Xenopus tropicalis: one gene and its partners. The protein of the gene in region 2 binds, or shares a complex with, the protein of the main gene of each other region. Links are inferred from orthologs where the notes say so. Each region holds a gene or a part of one and is shown on either strand. Other genes may lie near its edges.

The links.
Region 1: the proteins of keap1 (region 2) and nfe2l2 are in contact, whole or in part, in a crystal structure (PDB 3WN7), measured with the Mus musculus proteins. The link is inferred for Xenopus tropicalis from reciprocal best matches to the Homo sapiens genes KEAP1 and NFE2L2. Residues at the interface, in NP_001103775.1 of Mus musculus: Tyr334, Ser363, Gly364, Arg380, Asn382, Pro384, Asp385, Gly386, Asn387, Asn414, Arg415, Ser431, Gly433, Cys434, His436, Ile461, Phe478, Gly480, Arg483, Ser508, Gly509, Tyr525, Gln530, Ser555, Ala556, Tyr572, Phe577, Ser602, Gly603; in NP_035032.1 of Mus musculus: Leu19, Ile22, Leu23, Arg25, Gln26, Asp27, Ile28, Asp29, Leu30, Gly31, Val32, Val36, Phe37, Phe39.
Region 3: the proteins of keap1 (region 2) and ptma are in contact, whole or in part, in a crystal structure (PDB 2Z32), measured with the Mus musculus proteins. The link is inferred for Xenopus tropicalis from reciprocal best matches to the Homo sapiens genes KEAP1 and PTMA. Residues at the interface, in NP_001103775.1 of Mus musculus: Tyr334, Ser363, Arg380, Asn382, Arg415, Phe478, Arg483, Ser508, Gly509, Tyr525, Gln530, Ser555, Ala556, Tyr572, Gly574, Phe577, Ser602; in NP_032998.1 of Mus musculus: Gln40, Asn41, Glu42, Glu43, Asn44, Gly45, Glu46, Gln47.

The regions. Positions count from the first base shown.
Region 1 is NC_030685.2:65,686,889-65,690,539, reverse strand, and holds part of nfe2l2 (nuclear factor erythroid 2-related factor 2), read left to right. Parts: intron 1-3,305; coding exon 3,306-3,578; intron 3,579-3,651.
Region 2 is NC_030679.2:138,050,932-138,054,582, forward strand, and holds part of keap1 (kelch-like ECH-associated protein 1), read right to left. Parts: intron 2,126-3,651; 5' UTR 1,741-2,125; coding exon 1,198-1,740; intron 1-1,197. UniProt on the Homo sapiens protein: Substrate-specific adapter of a BCR (BTB-CUL3-RBX1) E3 ubiquitin ligase complex that regulates the response to oxidative stress by targeting NFE2L2/NRF2 for ubiquitination.
Region 3 is NC_030681.2:101,064,765-101,068,499, forward strand, and holds the start of ptma (prothymosin alpha), read right to left. Parts: upstream 2,938-3,735; 5' UTR 2,829-2,937; coding exon 2,784-2,828; intron 38-2,783; coding exon 1-37.

The DNA of each region.
Region 1 (3,651 bases), on a different chromosome or scaffold from region 2:
CTGTATAAAGACATTGATGATTAATGCTGGTTGATAAATAATTAACAGTCCAGATAGGCAACTTTATTCTGCTCATGAAATGTGTAATACGTGGGCAGCCTGCTATGTCGGTTACTCTTGTCAGTTTTATTTCTACATATAACTACAATTGAAAGCAGCACTAGTGTCCCCTTCTGCACTGCCAGTTCTGTCTCTAGAAACGTGTAAAAAAAAAAAAAGTCAGCTTTGTATGCTCCTTCATAGGTTTGTTAGTAGGCAGTCTTGTGCTACATTGTTTTAAAAGTCAAAACCACCAGAGCAGAGAATAGCAAGGTACAAACAGATACTGCTTTTAAGAGGTAAGACACACAGAGATACTAGTAGCAGCTACTTGTCACGCCTACTAAAATAGACAATGCTGATCATTTACTGATAATTGTCTCTACGTGTGTTTTAGCAGAGGCAATGGTATGGTATGGCAGGGTATTTCTGGTATTTAGTAGAAGTGAAAATATAGCTGCTACTAAGTAGCTCTGTGTGTCTTCCCCAAGCACACAGTTATTTTTCCAAATAGTTTTAAAACCATTGAGCATTTAGAATAATGGTACAATGGAAAGTTGCTTATAATTCTTCATTTCATTAGGCAAATTGTGATTTTTTGGGGGTTTAAATTCTCTTTAAACAAAACCTGCGTAGGTCCATGAATATAATGTCTATGAAAACAATGGATAATACTAACATATGGACTTTAACGTTCTGATCATTGGTTCAGCCATACCCATCTTGTCTGTTAAACTCTTGCTATGTGCTAAAGTGCTTGTAATCTGTATCTTTTCATTTGTATTTACCAGCCTATCTTGTTACAGGAGGAATAAACTAGATTGAAAGAGCCAGTGTTAGTATTGGGTTTCCAACCAACCCTCCTATTATATTCCTCCACTTGCTTTTGTATTTGGCCCATGATGTAATCTCTCCCAAGTCACATCAATGCATATGGTTTACACCTTTCTTCATTGAAAACTATATCCTATAAACTGTTGGGTTAACAATAATAACGCATTTTGACTGCCGCAGTGCCCAGGAGAAAAACAAAGTGCTTGGTATGGATGTGTCACCACTACCAATGTATTCCTAACATGCCATGGCACACAAACCACTGCTCTACAACCCTCATCTGTGAGGATTTCCCATACTTGTTGCCTGAGCACAGTGGTGGTCAAAATGCCCTGTATGCTGGTCATGTGCTGCGAAATTGCTAGACCAGGTATTTACCTGCTGTGGCCGCCAACTCACAAGGTCAGTTACGGATTGTTAGGCTCCCAGGCTAGTGATTACATCATAATGGAGACCGATTGAAAGAAAACTGTTAACATGCTGATTTTCTAGATAAATTGCTAAATTGATAGATAATCTGGCTGATTTTCAGAGAGGTCAGGAAGGATATTAGGAGGCCATTAAGCTGCCAATTAGGTCTAGAGGAGCATAGTTTTGAGCTTTTAATGACTCATGCACTACTTTACTTGTGTCCACTTCAGAAAACTGAGCACAAGCAGCTGCTGAACATGCTTGTGTGGTGGAATCCACAGTAGAAGAGAGTGGAGGTCATCAAGTGGTTGGTTACTGGCCAATAATAAATGAGCCCTACTAGTGTATAAATGTGCATTGTTTTTCTGGGTAGGTTGCTGCCTAGATGTCGTATTGTGAGTTTGGTAATGAGCTTCTTGCAACCAAAATGTAGTCCAAATTCTCTCTCTGTGGTATTGACAGAAGGTTTCAGCACTGCTGTATTTGGTAATGGCCAATTGATGGTGCCCAGAGCTCGACACAATGGGGGGACGATGGCCAAAGGTGACAGCTTGTTGGTTCATGTAGAGACACATTAGGGCTACACGGTTTCAGCACACTTTTAGGATATTGATTATAGATCAATTCTTTTCCAGGGGTGCAAATTAAAAGGGAGAGATAACACTGGTACATGCCTGTTGGACGACATAATGCAGTAGCATCAGGGCTGTAATCTTAAAGCAGTTATCAATACTTTAGGAGCTGTGGCTCCTCTTCAGTTTCTCATCTGTTGATGCACAGTGCCCTGGCAGATATGCATTGGCAGATGACATTTTCAAACCTGCCTGCTTGATGAACAGACTGATATCCAGTAGTGATGGGCGAAATGCATTTCACCATTGGCGGATTGTTTCGCAAAACGGATGAAAACATTCGCCGGGGAAAAATTTGCAGAGCGTCCAAAAATTGTCGCCTGCGACAAAAGTATAGCCGCGGGCGACAATAGAATAGCCGCGGTGACAATTTTTTTTTTACGTGCAACATTTCCGCCGTTTTGCAAATTTTTCGGCGAAGCGAAATGGGACAGATTCGCCTACATTTACCTAAAATAGGCTGTGAAGATATTTCTAAGCGAAAATTGGATATTTAAAACATAGGAAAAATCATGGTTGTTCCCTAATATTTAGATATAGACCAGTGTTTTTCACAGGTTCAAGCATCCCTTGTCTCCTTACTAAGATACAGATTTATGAACACATTGTCATCCTGCCATGGTTCCTAAGTCTAAAATATTAATTTGGTTCCTCAGGCTGGGCTTCCAGGAAAATGTAGAACAAGAAACAATTTACTTCCAAATCTTTTTTTTTTTTTTTTAAGCCCCATTTCCTCCACTCACTGCCTCAGGCCCCCTAACTGGTTTCATCCCCATGGTTTAGAACTAGTGCTACCATCAAAGCATGTCTGTGTCTATACTTAAACCTTTTAGATGTTCAGTTAGATTCCTGCATACTTCTAGGCAAACCCTATAGCAGTATTGTTTTTATCCATTTTATATCTTTTACTTTTCTAGATGTGGATTCCTGAATTAAGCCCCATTAGTAGAGAATTAGTACGTTTTTTTACATCCAGGGTTGTCAGTTAATTATATACCTTGTCAACTGTATGCTTATTAATGCCAAAGTCCTGGAAACATTAGCTTTTAGGGGGTTGATGGCATTTGGAGAGCAACAACTTTGACAATTCCCGACCAAGGCATTTCCAAAGAATTCAACATTGCTCCATCATTACTAGCATATAGCTGGAGATTAGGTCTGCTCCCATGGGTGTGAATGTTCATGTGAACCTGGCAGTGTCACAACTTCCCATGAGAAGGTAATGTTCACCTGCCTCTTGAAAGATTACCACATCAGCTTAATCCAAGCCCAGTTGAAGATGTAACCTACCACTATCAGTCGTGTTGGATTTCATAGCTGCTTCATGGGGTTGAACAATTATCCAAAAAGTATCAGGACATTAAACCCCATGTATTTGACTTCTTCTAGGATATGGATCTGATTGATATTCTTTGGAAGCAAGACATTGACCTCGGTGTTAGCCGTGAGGTTTTCGACTATAACCAAAGACAGAAGGAAAATGAATTGGAGAAACAGAAGAAGCTTGAAAAGGAGCGGCAAGAGCAGCTGCAGAAGGAACGGGAAAAAGCACTCTACGCCCAACTGCAATTAGATGAGGAGACAGGGGAATTCATCCCAATCCAACAGGCTGCACCTATTGAGACTGCAGCAGTCACGCAGGAGCTTGCCAGTTCCATTGAGGTAATTAGCCCAGATCTTGTTTATGAAAGAAACATGTGACATAGGGAATTCACATACAATAATGTGGCATCTT
Region 2 (3,651 bases):
CTATAGGCACCATCTCTCCCTACTATACCTGCTATCCCACAGCCCCAGTCCCTTCCCAGAGGCTATTATCCCCCCACTGCTACTATAGGCACCATCTCTCCCTACTATACCTGCTATCCCACAGCCCCAGTCCCTTCCCAGAGGCTATTATCCCCCCACTGCTACTATAGGCACCATCTCTCCCTACTATACCTGCTATCCCACAGCCCCAGTCCCTTCCCAGAGGCTATTATCCCCCCACTGCTACTATAGGCACCATCTCTCCCTACTATACCTGCTATCCCACAGCCACAGTACTTGCCTGACAAGATTCTAGGGTGTCCCAGACAAACTTTTTTTTTACTTCACACAGCACTCCATTGCACCCAAGAGCACCCCAATTCTCAGCATTCATTGCTACAAAAACAGTGAGACCCACTTGCCCCACCTGTACCCACTAACATTTTGTTTTTCGTCTCTGTGGAAGATGATTAACACGCTATGTTCTCAGACCTCAGTCCTATCATTCGCGTCTCAAGGTCAAACAGCTCAGCGCCTTGCACAACACCATGAATAAGCATTGGGGAAAGCACAGAACGGAAACCACAGCGCTACGTGGATCTGCCAAATGTTAAAGGGGCTGCTCACCTTTGAGTTAACTTTTACTCTGAGACAATTTGCAATTGGTCTTCATTTTTTTATTACTTGTTAACTTTTTGTTCAGCAGCTCTCTAGTTTATAGTTTCAGCAGCTATTCGGTTGCTAGGGTCCAAATTACCTTAGCAACCAAGGAGTGGTTTCAATAAGACACTGATATATGAATAGGGGACAGCCTGAATTGAACAATAAGCTATAAAAAGTAATAACAATAAAACTGTAGCTTCACAGAGCAATGTTTTTGGGCTGCCGGGGTCAGTGAGCCCCCTTTTTTTTTTTGGAAAGAGACAGAGGAATAAGACAAATAATTCAAAAACGATACAGGCAGCTCATCTTTGGTGCGACTAGCATCGGAACTGCTGCTGCTGAACTTAGGAGCCTAAAGGGTGTTCTATCAAGCCAAAATGGCAGCATTAATGCAATATTTACACGCCACGTGCCAGGTAAACAGGGCACAAAAAAAATAAATAATGAAGACCAATTGAAAAGTTGCTTACATACTAAAAGTTAACTTAAAGGTGTACCTCCCCTTTAAAGCCCTGATACAGTTATTTGACTCACCTCCCCGAATTGCATGTATATATATTCCCGCGCCTTCTGGTGCAACTCGTGGCATCCGATCTGCTCCGCAAAGGTGGCTATGCCGATGGCGTTACTCGGGTCAAGCTGCTGGATGAGAAAGTCGCAGCAGGCCTTGACCACGCTGTCCATCTGGTACATGACGGCGCCGTTCATGACGTGGATGACGCACTTCTCTCCCACGGAAATGCTAGCTGTGTAGGCAAACTCCAAAAGCCGCTGCATGACTTTAGGGTGAACCCCCTCTATGGTAACGGTCTCCATGCCGCACTCCCGGAGGCCATTGGTAAACATGGCGCGGAACACGGGGCTGCTGGACGCCAGCACAATCTTGTGGGCCACAAACTCATCCTGGACGTCGTTGTACTTGACCTTCAGCTTGACGTCGCACAGTTGCTGCCCCAGCCGGAGCTCGTTCATAATCTGGAAGGCCTGGTTGGTGTGGTCGGCCAGGCTATACTGAAACTGCCGGTTGCCATTGCTGTGCGAGGGCGTCACTTCCGCCTGGCACTCTGTCGCGTACATTCCTGCTGCCGTCGGAAACGCCTAACGGGGCATCATTAGGGGGCAAAAAGATTTCTTCAAAACAAACCTATTGCCATTTTTCTTTAAAAAAAATATTTTAAAAAAATAAATTAACTGTGCAAAAAAAATGTGTCAAAAAGACCAATAAATTATTTCACGCAGAAAAAAAAAAAATATTACGGATACTTAATCCATATCAGTTTGTCCAGATTCTCTAGTCAGGAGTGATTTAATCCATCCCGGTCGTTTGGTTAACGGGGGGGGTTAGCAAATGAAAAATAAAAGTCTCTGCCTAGGGGTTGAGCATGTTGCTGGAGCAAACCCGGGCTACGGTGAGTCGGTGGGATCAAATAGGAGCCCTTCTAGTTCATTTTCTGTTTGATACCTGGAGAGGAAGAAGGAAGAGAAGTTGAAAGCTGCTTGTGATTAGCCGGGAATGTGCCAGAACGAGTGACGCCATAGAGTTATGACTGCTTTACACACATCCCATGTTTACCTGGCACACTGCGCGGCGTGTAAATATTGCATTAATGCAGCCATTTTGGGTTAATAGAGCACCCTTTATGCTCCTACGTTCAGCAGCAGCAGTTCCCATGCTAGTCGCACCAAAGATAAACTGCCTATATAGTTTTTGCATTATTTGCCTTCTTCTTCTGTCTTCTTTCCAACTTTCAAATGGGGGTCACTGACTCCGGCAGCCAAAAACTATTGCTCTGTGAGGCTACAATTTTACTGTTATTGTTACTTTTGATAACTTTTTTTTCTTTTCAGGCCCTCTCCTACTCATGTATCAGTCTCTAATTCAAACCACTCCCTGGTTGCTAAGGTAATTTGGACCCTAGCAACCAAATAGCTGCTAAAACTATAAACTAGAGAGCTGCTGGACAAAAAGTTAAAAAACTTATTTTTCTGTTCAGCTTCACTACTATTCATATATTGGTCACTCTCTCAAACCTCTCCCTGGTTACTAAGGTGAAATGGACTCTAGCAACCAGATAGCTGCTGAAATGTGAGACTAGAGACCCCGGCAGCCAAAAACTATTGCTCTGTGAGGCTAAAATGTTATTGTTATTGTTACTTTTGATAACTTTTTTTTCTATTCAGGCCTTCTCCTACTCATGTATCAGTCTCTCATTCAAACCAATCCCTGGTTGCTAAGGAAATTGGCACCCTAGCAACCAGATAGCTGCTAAAACTATAAACTAGAGAACTGCTGAACAAAAAGTTAAATAACTTATGTTTCTGTTCAGCTTCACTACTATTCGTATATTGGTCACTCTCTCAATCTTCTCCCTGGTTACTAAGGTGAAATGGACTCTAGCAACCAGATAGCTGCTGAAACGTGAAACTGGAGAGCTTTGAAACAAAAAGTTAAATAATAAAAAATGAAGACCAATTGGAAATTGTCTCGAAATATCACTCTCTACATCATACTAAAAAACTACCTCAAAGGTTTAGTATGATGTCGAGAGTGATATTCCGAGACAATTTCCAATTGGTCTTCATTTTTTATTGTTTGTTACTTAACTTTTTGTTCCAAAGCTCTCCAGTTTCACATTTCAGCTGCAATCTGGTTGCTAGAGTCCATTTCACCTTAGTAACCAGGGAGAGGTTTGAGAGAGCGACCACTATATGAAGAGTAGTGGAGCTGAACAGAACAAATAAGTAAAAATAACAATAAGTTAAATAAAAGTAACAACAATAAAACTGTAGCCTCGCAGAGTAATAGTCTTTTGGCTGCCGGGGTCAGTGACCCCCGTTGAAAGCCGAGCAAAGGCAGTAAATGAATGCAAATAATTCAAAAACTTTAAAAGATAAAAAAATGAAGACCGGTCGAAAAGTTGCTGAGAATTGGCCATTGTCTGCCCTGCTGGTTCTGACTTCTGAAACAATGTAGCACAAAGCCAGCCG
Region 3 (3,735 bases), on a different chromosome or scaffold from region 2:
CTTCTTCTACAACTTCCTTCTCTTTTGCTTTTAAGTCCTACAAAAACAAGAAAGTTTTGGTTACAGGTCATGGTAATGGGCATTATTAGAACAGTAACTATAGGAAGAGCAATGTTTGCTGGCAAACAACACAAAGAGAACCAGCTGTACAGAGAAGTAACAGGCAGAGACAAGCATTAAGCACAACAGACATCTTATGAAGAGCAAAAAAACTTCTGATTTATGGTATAAACTTGATAAATCGATTAAGACTTGTTTTAGTAATTATTAAAAAAAAAAAAGTATACTGCATGTGAAACAGCAGCGGTACATTGTCTCTGGCTGCCTATAAATTGGGTTTGTAGTAAATGATAAAATATGATAAATTAAGGTATTTTCTGTATTTCATTCACAGCAAAATAATTGGGATCCTTAGCAATGTAACTATATGGTGTTTATTCTACCTATATTTGATACAGCACACTTATTTTTAATTGTACCTTCTACATGTAATGGAGAATCCCCCTGGCGTTAATATGGGGAATAAACAGGCATCTGAACGAACAAAAGACTTCCCCTGTACCTGCACGCACCATACGTAGTTTTAAAATTGGCGCCACCAGCTAGGTAAAGCAATTGGTTACATTACGGTACAAAGACCAACCCATGTCCATATCAGGGCATCCGGAGCAGCGCATTGGCCCGACACTAACATTTCCAGCCCCCATTTGGCGCAAAGTCACCTGGAACTTGTAGTTCTCTGGTTATTCTCTTTCAAAATTCCCTACTGCGACACGCCCGCTAGGGGAGGGAAGAGAAAGACTACGACACCCAAAAGGCAACACGTAGTGACGCGCACAAATGTATGCAGGGGGGGCGGTGACAAGCAAGAGAACGAGGGGGGACGGACGATGGAGGAGACGAAGACTCCATAATTCAATCGGTATATTACAACCAGCCGTCAGATATTTCCAGAGATTATATTTGCTTTAGCAAGGGGTTTATAAAACGACAGCTCGTATGCTAGATAGGAAGCTGCGAAGGCTGCGCAATAAAGCAGGTAGCCTGTAATGGTTTAGCAAGGTCTGTAATTAACCCTCCCCCACCTCCTAATTAAAGCCTCTGCCTTTAAAGTCTAATCCAGTTACCATCTGTCCCCCTGCGTTAGTCTCTGTAGGATAAATGACTCCCCAGAGGACTTGTGACGCCGGACGTGGTGGAGAACAGCGGGCTCAATACAAGCAAAGTGACCCATCTCCCAGCCCGGCATGATCCAGCTGTGTAACCCCCCCCCCCCCCTAATCTGTCAGGGGCACACAGGGAGCCGGGACATAGCAGCGCCACACTGGAAGACGAATTGTTTGCAGTACATAAAAGTAAAGGGCCAGTCCTACCTGCAATGAGCCCAGCCCTCACCTGCCCATAACACAGGGAAAGGGAGCTCTCCTACACGTGGGAGCCACACTGGGCTCTCGGAACCCTCAGAGCGGCGGAAGCAGAGTTTTGGCGAGAGCTGGGCGCAGGTGGGGCTCGGCATCAGCCAAGGCTATTTATGGCGGAGATTAGCCCGCACATCTCGCTGGAAGCCCGTGGTAATGACCTCCAAATGGGTCCGCTCCTTTAGAATGGGGGTGTAAAGCATTGGGCCCGCGGGCCGGACCCTTCATGAAACACACCCGGTCCCCAGTTGGCCCAGATGCTCTGTAGAGCTCGGTTACATGAAAAGCGTGCCCCACATACATCACGTAGCAGTAGATAAAAGCATAATCGGCCTCCTACACTGACAAAGTTGGGATGCCCTGTTGTACAGCGCGATTCCCCGATCTGTCGCTCAGCGAGCATTACACCTGCCATACATTGTTTCAGCCAAACGGCACCTGGGCTGGTACTGAGCGCCACATCCAGACCGCCGCCCCCGTAGCAAATCCTCCCCGCTTGGGTAGCCGAGCCTCACTCGCTTACATGGTACAGGCGGGAAGAACAGTGGCACCATCCAGCTAGCAAATTCCACCCCAAATACCCAGGGCTGAAGGGAAGCTTGGCAGCCCGCCCAGTGCCCGCCAGCCTCTCATATACAGAGACAGGGCGCTCGCTAGAAAGCGAATCGACTGGGACCAATAACCGTAGCCTATGGCAGCGCTAGGGGCAAGGGGACATCATGCAGGGTACAAGTGTCAGATAGGGTCGCAGCCTTCTACTGGGCGCTTCTATAACAAGCCAGGACAATAGGAGATCGGCAGAAGGGTCACACTAGCAGCTTCAATCGCACTGCCCCATCTTATCCACCTCCTCCAACCTCCCGCTCGTTTCTCACACTCACGGAGGTCCTTTAATGCATTGGAGCAAAATCTCCGGGACTAACCAGTGAAGAGGCTCCGGGGCTATGAAGTAACGCTGCCAAGTACCTAGAAACTTACAGATAGCAGTCTGAACTAGCAGCTAGTTGAGCAATGAAGCCCGGGGAAAGGCTGGAGATGGCACGTATGCGCCCAGGGTGCCACTCTGTATCAGGACCATGGCTAATCCCAGCAGGACGCCACACACGCAGCGCCTTTTAACTCGTTATCTGTAGGTACCGCACTGTCTAACCATTAACCGATTTCATTGCCACTACTAACTACTGCCGGTCCCTGCCATACAATAGATGGAGATCCGCGCTCAGATATTCCCACTGACAGACACTACTCCCCCGCCAACACAGTGACATTCATAGAGCCAGTGTGAGGGACATCGCGGGCTGAGCCGCTCTCATAACACCAACTGTGCCCACAAAATGCCCTCTCAGCGCTCAAACTCTCTCTTACCTTGGGGGTTTTCTCAACGCTGGCGTCCACTGCTGTGTCGGACATTCTTAATATAATAAAATAAGCTATATACAAAAAACCAAAGTAATTGTGCAGGTCCCGGGAGCTGGAAGCGAGTGTTACAGGAACAATGCAAAGATGGCTTTTTATTTCTTATAATGACTGCCAGTGAAGAGCTCACGCGGCGCCAGTCCTTTTAATATAGATCAGTGGGAGGGGCGTAAGACCGGCTTCTCGCCTTTCAATTGGCCAGACCTCCAAAGAAAGGAGAAAAAAAAATATACCGTTTGATTGGTCATTGCTCAAACAATGGGGGAGGGTGACTTGTTTTCTTTTCCATGGTTTAGCTGCAGTACCAGCTGTGGCCTGAACGCCACCGCTGTGGAAATCGCCGCATGCGCAAAAGGCTCCTCTATCGCCGCTATTGGCAAACCAATGCAAATGAAGAGGAGCGTTTTCCCCCACCCCTTGGAGGGAGGGGGGGTTTAGTACCGTGTGCAAAGCAAGGAGGTGGGGTACCCTTTCGATAAGGACTGCCCCTTTTACATTGTGAAACATGCCCCTAGGGCATTTACATACCCTCTGCCCAGCAAGCGATATAAACATGCCGACATAAGTCGCTATAGGCAACTAGCTTGTCATGTATAGTACTCCTGCTGAGCCAACGTGAATTCAATAAAGTTACATCAGGAGTTATTTGTACAGGTGAGAACCGAGCGATCCCACACTCACCTAATGTCAGAAAATCAGCCTCAGCTCCATAGCTATTCAATTATAGCGCCCAATAGTCTTCAACTGCTGGGGATACACAATGGGGGGGGGGGCGACGGCAAAGGTCGCAGGAGCTGTAGCGTATTTGAAGCAAGAGCGCCGCACGTTGGCCACCCATAGCATTCAGCGATAGCCTATTCCCATCTTGGCGCCAAATGTATCCTATAGGAACACCTTTGCG